Linked DNA regions of Macaca fascicularis. The protein of the gene in region 2 interacts with the protein of the main gene of each other region in a biochemical or structural test. Links are inferred from orthologs where the notes say so. Each region holds a gene or a part of one and is shown on either strand. Other genes may lie near its edges.

Region 1 (4,694 bases), on a different chromosome or scaffold from region 2:
TTTAAAAACTATTAAGGGGTATAATAAGGCAAGCATGTTGATTCAAGGTGAATAATATGAATTCTGTAGAATATACACCAGTAAGAAACACTCACAAGTAAATAGTCCATTGTTCATCCAGGATCACATGGGTAATGGCATGCTTGGAAATGGCAACTGTGAAACCTGACAACAGGTCGATCTTCATTTTGTGATATCATTATGGGTAGATCCTGAGCTTTGTGGCTTTTACTTTGGCACTTATACCTGGTAAGGTGTCCTTGGTCTTAATATCTAATGCAGAGAGGGTTTGGACAGAGATTCTAAACAGGCTCATCAGCTCATACTCGCTTCTGTGAACAGCAATATCCCCACCAGTTACACAGCATTGGCACCTCTTCCAAGTCCGGTCTCTTTCCTAGAGGAGACATTAGTAACATTCCTATCCACCACTGCCACCTAATGACTCTTTTAGGTACTAGCAGCTCTGGTTCCGCTCCCTGATTTTTTGAATTCTGGGATTCTGGCACCAGGCAGAGGGATGTTGACTATGTAAGAGACTTTTGACATTAGAAGTCAGTATTTGTTCATTACAGAGCAAGAGACTTAATTGATTACAAATCAATAAAACTTTGATAAGATCTTCCAAAAAACTAGAAACAGGAAACACACGCAGGAGACTGAAAAGCATGATGTAAATGTAAAGAACTTGGGAAGTGGGTGGCTTGGCAGCCCAGCAGCTATATTGGAGCAACTGCATGAGTGAATACTTGTTACTCCTTTAGGGCTGGCTCTCCATTCTGCAATCATGTACCTCTTTCTTGATAAACTCCCAAGAACACACTTTCAGCATGGAATTGCAGACTTTTAGAGATAGCAACTCGTCTCAAGTATAGACAAATGTCAGTGCAGACAAATTTGATACACTGCTGAAGAATACCAAATTATATGGTAAGGAATTTTTCATTCCACAATAATGAAGTAAATAGCAGCTGGAAATGTTTGCATTAAGTTCATAGGTTATAATTTGTAATGGAATCAACACCAAATGCAAATTAGAAAGAGAGCTCACTTTGCTCACCCCACATTTCTTCCCATGTAACCATAGAACACTGGAGTCCTGTGTCTTTCTAGATCCACAGTCTTGCTCTCAGAACAGGCTAGCCACAGCACAGGCCTAGTGCTAGGACCCATGGCCTTTTTAAGCTCAGACTCCCTTCTGTGGACAGCAACATCCCCCACAACTTGTACAACCTTGGTGCTTCCGGCAAAGGCTACAGAACTATTTGATATGAAGATGTTCATTGACTTACACACAAGAGAAGCACCAAATAAAAAATTAATAATTAATTTAGTGTCTATGAAAGTGTACCATTTATTTTTACGTTTAGGGGTCATAAGAATTGTATTACATAAGAATGTAATACAATTTGAAGATCAGATTTTTCTCCCTTTGTGAGAATTTCTCAGTATGTGTGATGACTACCAAGAAATCATAGCCAGTCATAAATTCAATGAGTTACTCATAAATGAACAATTTGAAAAGCAAAATTCCAAAAATCAGGTAAAATTTTACAGTGAAAAGTTATTTTTGTTGTCAAATATAGGGGCATTCACATATATTAGATATAATGTGGGTTAGATCTGTAATGATTTTTAAAGGCTCTGAATGGTCTTTAAAATTTTCTCCAAAGAACTAAAGGTATAGTCAGAAACTACTTGTTGCACATACCAAATACTTTTCAATTCTCTAATCTTGAACTTTCATAAGAAATAGAATCTTAAAAGTTCATAAGAAATTTGCTTTCTATTTTGTTATAATTCATATTTGTTTAGTTCTATTGTCAATGATCAGTCATTGAGTTAAAATTAAGCTCCAGGAAGAAGCACCGTATTTACCTAAAGCATCTACCTAAAGGTGAGTGTCTGTGATGCACCATTCCTGGGATGTGTGCGTTCTAGAGTTTGAGAGGGACAGCTCTTGAGAGGTGATGGCAGGAATCCTCTTTTTCTCTTCTTTTGAGGAAGATGTTAAGAAATCATTAGAGCAAACTGTAAGGCCTTTGATTTGATAAAAAAAAAAAAGTCTAAGGCATTTTTTTACCACATGGTAGCACCTTTTGCCTGTTGTGTAACAGCATATGTACATATGCAGGAGAAACTAGAAAATATTATCTAGAATAATCTCAATTGCTTCCAATGTGAGAAGCTCCTAAGAATAAGCTCATATTCCTCTTTCTTCTCTGTAAGGGTTGATTCCAGACCCATCTTCCAAACATCGCGTGTCTTCTTCCATGCTCCTCCCTCTTCTTTCTAAATGGTACAGAACAAATTCACCTTTGGCCATGAACCACCTACTTCTTGGGGAAGTAGGTCTGCTTCCCCTCAACTCAGGATGCAACTGCTTTCAACTGCTTTCTTCACATTAGCTGAGTAATTAGCTAGAATTCTGTCATAAACAATTTTATGGTTGATCCTTCTCTGGGCTCTGGATTCCCTAAAACAGAGGTCCCCAAATCCCGGTCTGTGGCCTGTCCGCCTGAGCTCTGCCTCCTGTCAGATCAGCAGGCAGCATTAGATTCTCACAGGAGCCGGACCCCTCTATTGTGAACTGCACATGTGCGGGATCCAGATTGTGTCCTCTTTATGAGACCCTAAATTAAACTAATTCTTGATGATCTGAGCCAGAACGATTTCATCCTGAAACCATCCCCCACCCATCCATGGAAATACTGTCTTCCACAAAAATGGTCCCTGGTGCCAAAAGTGTTAGAGACCACTCCCCTAAAACTCTCTCTTCTTATCTCTCACCTCCTGTATTACTATCTCATCTCAGTACACTGAAGCCCCCATCCTTTCCCCATGGATGCCTCATTTCCTATTAGGGAGGCATTTGGTATGTCTTTTTTTTTGACAGAGTCTGCCTCTGTCGCCGCCCAGGCTGGAGTGCAGTGGCGCGATCTTGCTCACTGCAAGCTCCACCTCCCTGGTTCACGCCAGTCTCCTGCCTCAGCCTCCCAGGTAGCTGGGACCACAGGCGCCCGCCACCACGCCCGGCTAATTTTTTGTATTTTTAGTAGAGATGGGGTTTCACTGTGTTAGCCAGGATGGTCTCGATTTCCTGACCACGTGATCCGCCCGTCTCGGCCTCCCAAAGTGCTGGGATTACAGGCCTGAGGCACCGCGCCCGGCCGTCATTTGGTATGTCTGAATGTGCGTCAGGACCTAGTACAGTCCCTGGTACCCAGTAGGGACCTATGTAATGTTCGTTATTCAATTAATTAATAAGTGAATTAGTGAGAGTGGATTTTGTAATGTAACGACTGATAGAGAAATACTCAGTGATTCTAAGGGATAGGAAAGAATGGTTGGAGCTAGAGGTTGTGCTCAGGAAACTATTAAATAGACCTTTCAGAGGAATGGATTCAGAACAGGTGTAAGGTTAATGAGAAAGGGAGAATAGAATATATAATTTGGTGGCGGAAAAGATCTGATTCATGATGCCGTGTCAGAGAGAAAAGCTCCTGTCCTTTTTGCCTGATTTGGTGATGCTGTTCTTGCATCTACCATTCCTCCTTTTGCCCTTGGCAGGAGCCTGTGTTGGAAGAGATGGTGATGCGCCTGGGCCTTTTCTTGTTGGTCTTCATGCTGGGTCTGGGTCTGACCCTACCCACCCTGGCTCAGGATAACCCAAGGTACAGAGACTTCCTGGCCAAGCACTATGATGCCACACCACAGGGCCGGAATGACAGATACTGTGAAAGCACGATGAGGAGACGGCATCTGACCTCACCCTGCAAAGACATCAACACCTTTGTTCATGGCAACAGGCACCACATCACGGCCATCTGTGGAGATGAGAATGGAAGCCCTTATGGAGGAAACCTAAGAATAAGCACGTCTCCTTTCCAGGTCACCACTTGCAAACTACGTGGAGGATCCCCCCGGCCTCCATGCCAGTACCGAGCCACACGGGGGTCCAGAAACATTGTTGTTGGTTGTGAAAATGGCCTACCTGTCCACTTGGATGAGTCCATTTTCCGTCCGTAACCAGCGGGCCACTGGTCAAGTGTCAAGTGCTGGCTCTGCTGCCCTTGCCTTACATTTCCCCTCTGCACCCTAGAACAGTGTGGCAACATGCATTGCCAAGGGCCCAAAGAAAGAGCTACCTGGACCTTTTGTTTTCTGTCTGACAACATGTTTAATAAATAAAAATGTCACTGATATCAGTAAGAATCAGAGTCTTCTCACTGATTCTGGGCATATTGATCTTTCCCCCATTTTCTCTACTTGGTTGCTCCCTGAGAGGACTGCATAGGATATAAATGCCTTTTTCTTTTCTTTTCTTTTCTTTTCTTTCCTTTCCTTTTTTTTTTTTGAGACGGAGTCTCACTCTATTGCCAGGCTTGAGTGCAATGGCACAATCTTGGCTCACCACAACCTCTGCCTCCTGGGTTCAAGTGATTCTCCTGCCTCAGCCTCCCAAATAGCTGGGATTACAGGCATGTACCACCATACCTGGCTAATTTTTGTGTTCTTAATAGAGACAGGGTTTCACCATTTTGGCCAGGTTGATCTTGAACTCCTGACCTCAGGCAATCCACCCACCTTGGCCTCCCAAAGTGCTGGGATTACAGGCATGAGCCTCCGAGCCTGGCCACTTTTACCTTATCAGTCAGTTTTTTACAAGTCATCAGGGAGGTAGATTTTACCTC
Region 2 (5,143 bases):
CTCAGCCTCCCGAATAGCTGGGATTACAGGTGCCCGCCACCACGCCTGGCTAATTTTTGTATTTTTAGTAAAGACAGGTTTTTACCATGTTGGCCAGGTTGGTCTTGAACTCCTGACCTCAGGTGATCTACCCTCCTCAGCCTCCCAAAGTGTTGGGATTACAGATGTGAGCCACTGCGCCCGGCCAGAACCACCTTCTTTAAAGATGATCAAGCCGGATACAGTGGCTCCTGCCAGTAATTCCAGCGCTATGGGAGGCTGAAGCAGGAGGATCACTTGAGCCCAATTCAAGACCAGCCTGGGCAACACAGGGAGACCTCTTCTCTACATAAAATAAAACAATAAGCCAGGCGTGCTGGCGCCTGTGGTCCCAGCTACTTGGGAGGCTGAGGCGGGAGGATCGCTGGAGTCCGAGAGGTGGAGGCTGCAGTGAGCTGGGATCACGCCACTGCAGTGCAGCCTAAGCAGCGGAGTAAGACCTTGTCTGGAAAATAAATACATAATAAAGGCAGTCAGAGAAGAGGTTTAGCAAATTGCTAAAGAACAAATCTGACGTACCGTCAGTTTCCTTGCAATCTTCATCTGCCAAAATGTCAATTTTGTGAACTGGGGACTAGTCAAAAACTTAAAGTAAACCCACTTTTGTGGAGGTGGGGTCGCTTTGCGTTTCCCAGGCTAGTCTGGAACTCGGCCTGCGCCCCTCAGTACCGGGGCTCCGGGCGGCGCTCGGGTGTCTTGGCCGCAGAATGGACGCGGGAGCAGCTGGGTCCGCGATGAGAGCTGGGTCCGCAGCTCTGCAGGCCTTGCGGGCTGGGGTCCCACGAAACAAAGGCGCAGCCAATGGCCGGGACGGGCAGCGTGGATCACCGGGCCGTGGCTCCCTCGAGGGTCGCGATCTCGGCGCAAAGGAGCCCCTCTACCAAGGTCGCCTAGAGGCGCGACCCCGACATGCGGAGCCGCCCCAGGGGGGCTTCTCCCGGGTCCCTCCTGTCCCGAGGCCGCCGCTTTCTCCGGGGGCCGCGCTCCGCGCCCCAGCCAGGCCCGACCTGCGCCTGCGACTCCGCCTCCACGGCGCTGCCGCTCCGGGTCTGGCCGCCTCCTCCGAGGATTCTGAGGAATCGCCGAGAAGTGTCTGCCAGTGCGAGGCCACAGCACGGGCCCGCCAGGCCCCGCCCCCAGCACCAAGCCCCGCCTACTAGGGAGACCCCCGTCCCCACGAGACCCTCTCGCCCCCGCATCGAGCCTCGCCCCACGAGCCCCGCCCCTGCGCCGACTGTACTTCGCCGAGCCCCGCCCCCGAGCCGAGCCATGCCCTCTAGGCCCCGCCCCCGCACCGAGACTGCGCCCATCAGGCCCCGCCCCTGCGCCGAGCCCCGCCCAGTAGTCCCCGCCCCCGCACCTGACCGCGCCCACCAGCCGGCTCCAACACGCCCGCGCCGCTGACTCTGGCGGCTGGAGGTGTCGACACATTCAACCCGTTCTGCTGGCTCGAGAAGGAAGTCGGCCGTCTCGCTCTGGGTCTCCAGGCCTGCGACCGTCCGCCAGTCGTCCCGAGGTCAGTAGCTCCAGCGGTGCGTCAGCCTGTAGCCAGGCCTCGCCCACGCCGGCCTCGGTCGGGCTTTCGGAAGACGCGCGCCTAGCGCTACTGAGGCCCCTGCTGCGCGGGCGAGTGGCGCGCTCCCGCGGCGGGGCGGGGTCGGGCGGGGCAGGGGTCTGGGGCCGGCAAGGTTGCGCTGGGCAGATGCGCCGCCCGGCGGATGTGGCGCTCCCTGAAGACGTCATCGCGCCGCGAGCTCCCCTTTGGGGCGCGCCGGAAGTCCCTGCGCGGGGCGGGGGGCGGTGCTGCGCCTACTTGGGTCGTTCTCGCGTGGCCGTCGTGCCCCCTAGTGCCTTAGATTCCAGCGAGCTGCGCAAGCAATCTTGGTCCAGCCGAGCTTTCTTCCCCAAATCACGTAACCCTTGACCTTATTCCCCCAAAGAACCGGCCTCCCGGGAAGGACCGCTCTGGCGGAGAAGACTCGAACGGCTCCCACCGCCGGGCGTTGGGGGAAAGGTGGGCGGTCTCGGTCGTGCGAGGTCGGGGAGGGAGGGTCCTTCGCCCTCCATTGCGGAGCCTCGCTCTGGGACCACCGGGAGACCGGACGCCGGGCCGCGAAGCTACCGCCTGGGGCTGCGGGGAGGAGAGCGACAGAACTGGAACGGCTCTTAGGGGCCGGCGTCAGGGCTGTAACCAGGGTTGGCGGAAATGATGAAGGGGCCCCAGGCACATCGTGTTATTGGGCGAGGTTCCAGCCAAGGTGCCCACGCGCCTTGGGGGAAACCAGAGGATTTCTGCACCGTTTCCCGAGGACAGTTGGGTAGTGTTTCAGAACGGCCTTAGAACCAGGCAAGGCCCCTTTCTAGGATGGTGGAAAGCCTAAAGATATGAAAACAGTCTCAAGTGTCGTCTTAGCGATTGGTCGAGTAAACCGAATACGAGCGGGAGACTGCACACGATATTGCCGTTAAGAGTTACATTGGGGCCGGGCGTAGTGGCTCACCCCTGTAATCCCAGGATTTTGGGAGTGCGAGGCGGGCGGATCACCTGAGGTCAGGAGTTCAGGAACAGCCTGGCCAACGTGGTGAAACCCCGTCTCTACTAAAAATACAAAATTAGCCGGGCGTGGTGGCAGGCGCCTGTAATCCCAGCTACTTGGGAGGTTGAGGTAGGAGAATCGCTTGAACTCAGGAGGCGGAGGTTGCAGTGAGCCGAGATGATGCCACTGCACTCCAGCCTGGGTGACAAGAGTGAAACTCCGTCTCAGGAAAAAAAAAAAAAGGTTACATTTGGCTGGATGCGCTGGTGCAGCCTGTAATCCCAGCACTTAGGGAGGCCAAGGCGGGCGGATCTCTTGAGCCCGGGAGTTTGCGACCAGCCTGGCCAACATAGTGAGACCCCCGTCTCTACAAAAAAATGGAAAAAATTAGCCAGTTGTGGTAGTGAACGCCTGTAGTCCCAGCTACTTGGGACGCTGAGGCAGGAGGATGGCTTGAGCCCTGGAGGAGGAGGCTGCAGTGAGCTATTGTCTCATCCCTGCTATAACGAATTTGCCATAGATAGGTTGTTTTACAGGCCTGAAGCTCAGAAGCCCAAAGTGAGTTTTAGGAGGTTAAAATCAAGGTGTTGGCAAGGGTAGTTGCTTCTGGAGGTTCCCAAGGAAAATCTGCTTTTCCAACTTCTAGAGGCCATCTTCTTCCATCTTCAAAACCTGCTGTCTCTGCATAAGAACCCTCACGATAATATGCCGGCCGCCCAGATACCCCAGGATAGCCTTCACATCTCAATATTCCTAATATTTGCAAAGTCCCTTTTGCCACGTAAGGTAACACCACAGGTTTGAAGATTCGGATGTTGACATCTTTCAGGGCCATTCTTATTTTTAAAAAGGTACTGTTGATAATAATAGTTAAAATGTAAAATATTTGAAGGGATTAATTCGGAACCAAAAATGAGTGACTGCGGCCGGTGGAGATCCTGGGAACATGTGTCCAAGGTGGTTGGGGCAGCTTGATTTTATACGTTTTAGAGAGATATGAGGCATCAATGAAATACATTTAAGATATACATTGGTGGGCCGGGCGCGGTGGCTCAAGCCTGTAATCCCAGCACTTTGGGAGGCCGAGACGGGTGGATCACAAGGTCAGGAGATCGAGACCATCTTGGCTAACACGGTGAAACCCCGTCTCTACTAAAAAATACAAAAAACTAGCTGGGCAAGGTGGCAGGCGCCTGTAGTCCCAGCTACTCGGGAGGCTGAGGCAGGAGAATGGCGTAAACCCGGGAGGCAGAGCTTGCAGTGAGCTGAGATCCGGCCACTGCACTCCAGCCTGGGCGACAGAGCGAGACTCCATCTCAAAAAAAAAAAAAAAAAAAAAAAAGATATACATTGGTTTTGGCCAGATCTCAGCTCACTGCAAGTTCCGCCTCCTGGGTTCATGCCATTCTCCTGCCTCAGCCTCCCGAGTAGCTGGGACTACAAGCGGCCGCCACCTCGCCCGGCTAGTTTTTTTTTTGGTATTTTTTAGTAGAGACAAGGTTTCACCGTGTTAGCCAGGATGGTCTCTATCTCCTGACCTCGTGATCCACCCGTCTCGGCCTCCCAAAGTGCTGGGATTACAGGCTTGAGCCACCGCGCCCGGCCAGAACTCTTGACTGATAGAAACGGAGGGTGTGTCCAAAGTTTTCAGGAGGGCCCAGCGGCTCTCCAAAACCTCTCCTCACAGCCTCGCCCATTTCGCGTCAGCCGCAACAAATCATCGTCAATCTGTTCCATGATCTCCAGTCTGGTAGCAAAAAGGAGTATCTCAGGTTTGCTTTATTTTAGTGTTTGGGGAATTCTTGGAATCCGGCCTGTTTGTGGGAGGAGGCAGGGGCTGCCAGAGCTGGAGGGATGGTCTGGGGGAAGGCGGGTGCAGGCGCCGGTTCCGGGAGATTAAGTGGAAAGGCTGGTTGGGGGCAGACGGTGGGAAACGGGATGCGGACGTCAGGCTTCACCCCCAACCGAGGGGGGAGTGGGGAAGCTGGGGTAGTAACTGGAACGAGGCCCGGGGACTGAGCTGGGCACGCTGGAGGCTCCGCCCGCCCCCGCCTGGGCGGAAGGAGCGCGAAGCGGCTCGGGCCTTGGGTCTGCGGCGGCGGCGCCGGGTGAGCGGGCGCGGGCGGGGGCAGAGAAGCAGGGGAGACCCACTCCGTGTTTTTCTGAGGTTCCCTCCCAGCCCTTTAGTATGCGGCAGGGTGTCCAGAACTAGCGGGTTCGAGGGACTCGACGCGGGCGGGGGTCCCAGGGACCAGGAACGTTTGCACGTCGCCTGAGCGTGGCCCGTGTCTCCCTAGGGGGTGGCCCTGCGCCCCTCGGAGGTCGCCGTGTCCACGTCCCCATCACGTCGGAACCGAAGGACCTGAATTGGCCTCCGAACGGCCCCTCCCGTGTGGCTCCCCGGGGCGGGGGGGCTCAGGTCTTGGGCGCTGCGGAGACCTCCCGCCCTAAGGTTGGGAAGGTCTGGTTTCCGGATAAGGGACCGTTAGGGCCGCTGTTCAGACCTCTGCCTTGACCAAAGCAGGCTGCTGGCTGGTGGTGGCGGGTTCCTGAGTGTGCTTTAGCCC

The links.
Region 1: the proteins of RNH1 (region 2) and ANG are reported together in a solved structure, tested with the Homo sapiens proteins (3 studies listed by BioGRID and IntAct, with this or other methods). The link is inferred for Macaca fascicularis from reciprocal best matches to the Homo sapiens genes RNH1 and ANG.

What each region holds. Positions count from the first base shown.
Region 1 is NC_088381.1:88,364,677-88,369,370, forward strand, and holds the end of ANG (angiogenin), read left to right. Parts: intron 1-3,570; 5' UTR 3,571-3,588; coding exon 3,589-4,029; 3' UTR 4,030-4,212; downstream 4,213-4,694. UniProt on the Homo sapiens protein: Secreted ribonuclease that can either promote or restrict cell proliferation of target cells, depending on the context. Endocytosed in target cells via its receptor PLXNB2 and translocates to the cytoplasm or nucleus.
Region 2 is NC_088388.1:403,284-408,426, reverse strand, and holds the start of RNH1 (ribonuclease inhibitor), read left to right. Parts: upstream 1-1,831; 5' UTR 1,832-2,053; intron 2,054-3,222; 5' UTR 3,223-3,281; coding exon 3,282-3,362; intron 3,363-4,263; coding exon 4,264-4,348; intron 4,349-4,643; exon of another isoform or gene 4,644-4,684; intron 4,685-4,873; exon of another isoform or gene 4,874-5,028; intron 5,029-5,143. UniProt on the Homo sapiens protein: Ribonuclease inhibitor which inhibits RNASE1, RNASE2 and angiogenin (ANG). May play a role in redox homeostasis. Required to inhibit the cytotoxic tRNA ribonuclease activity of ANG in the cytoplasm in absence of stress.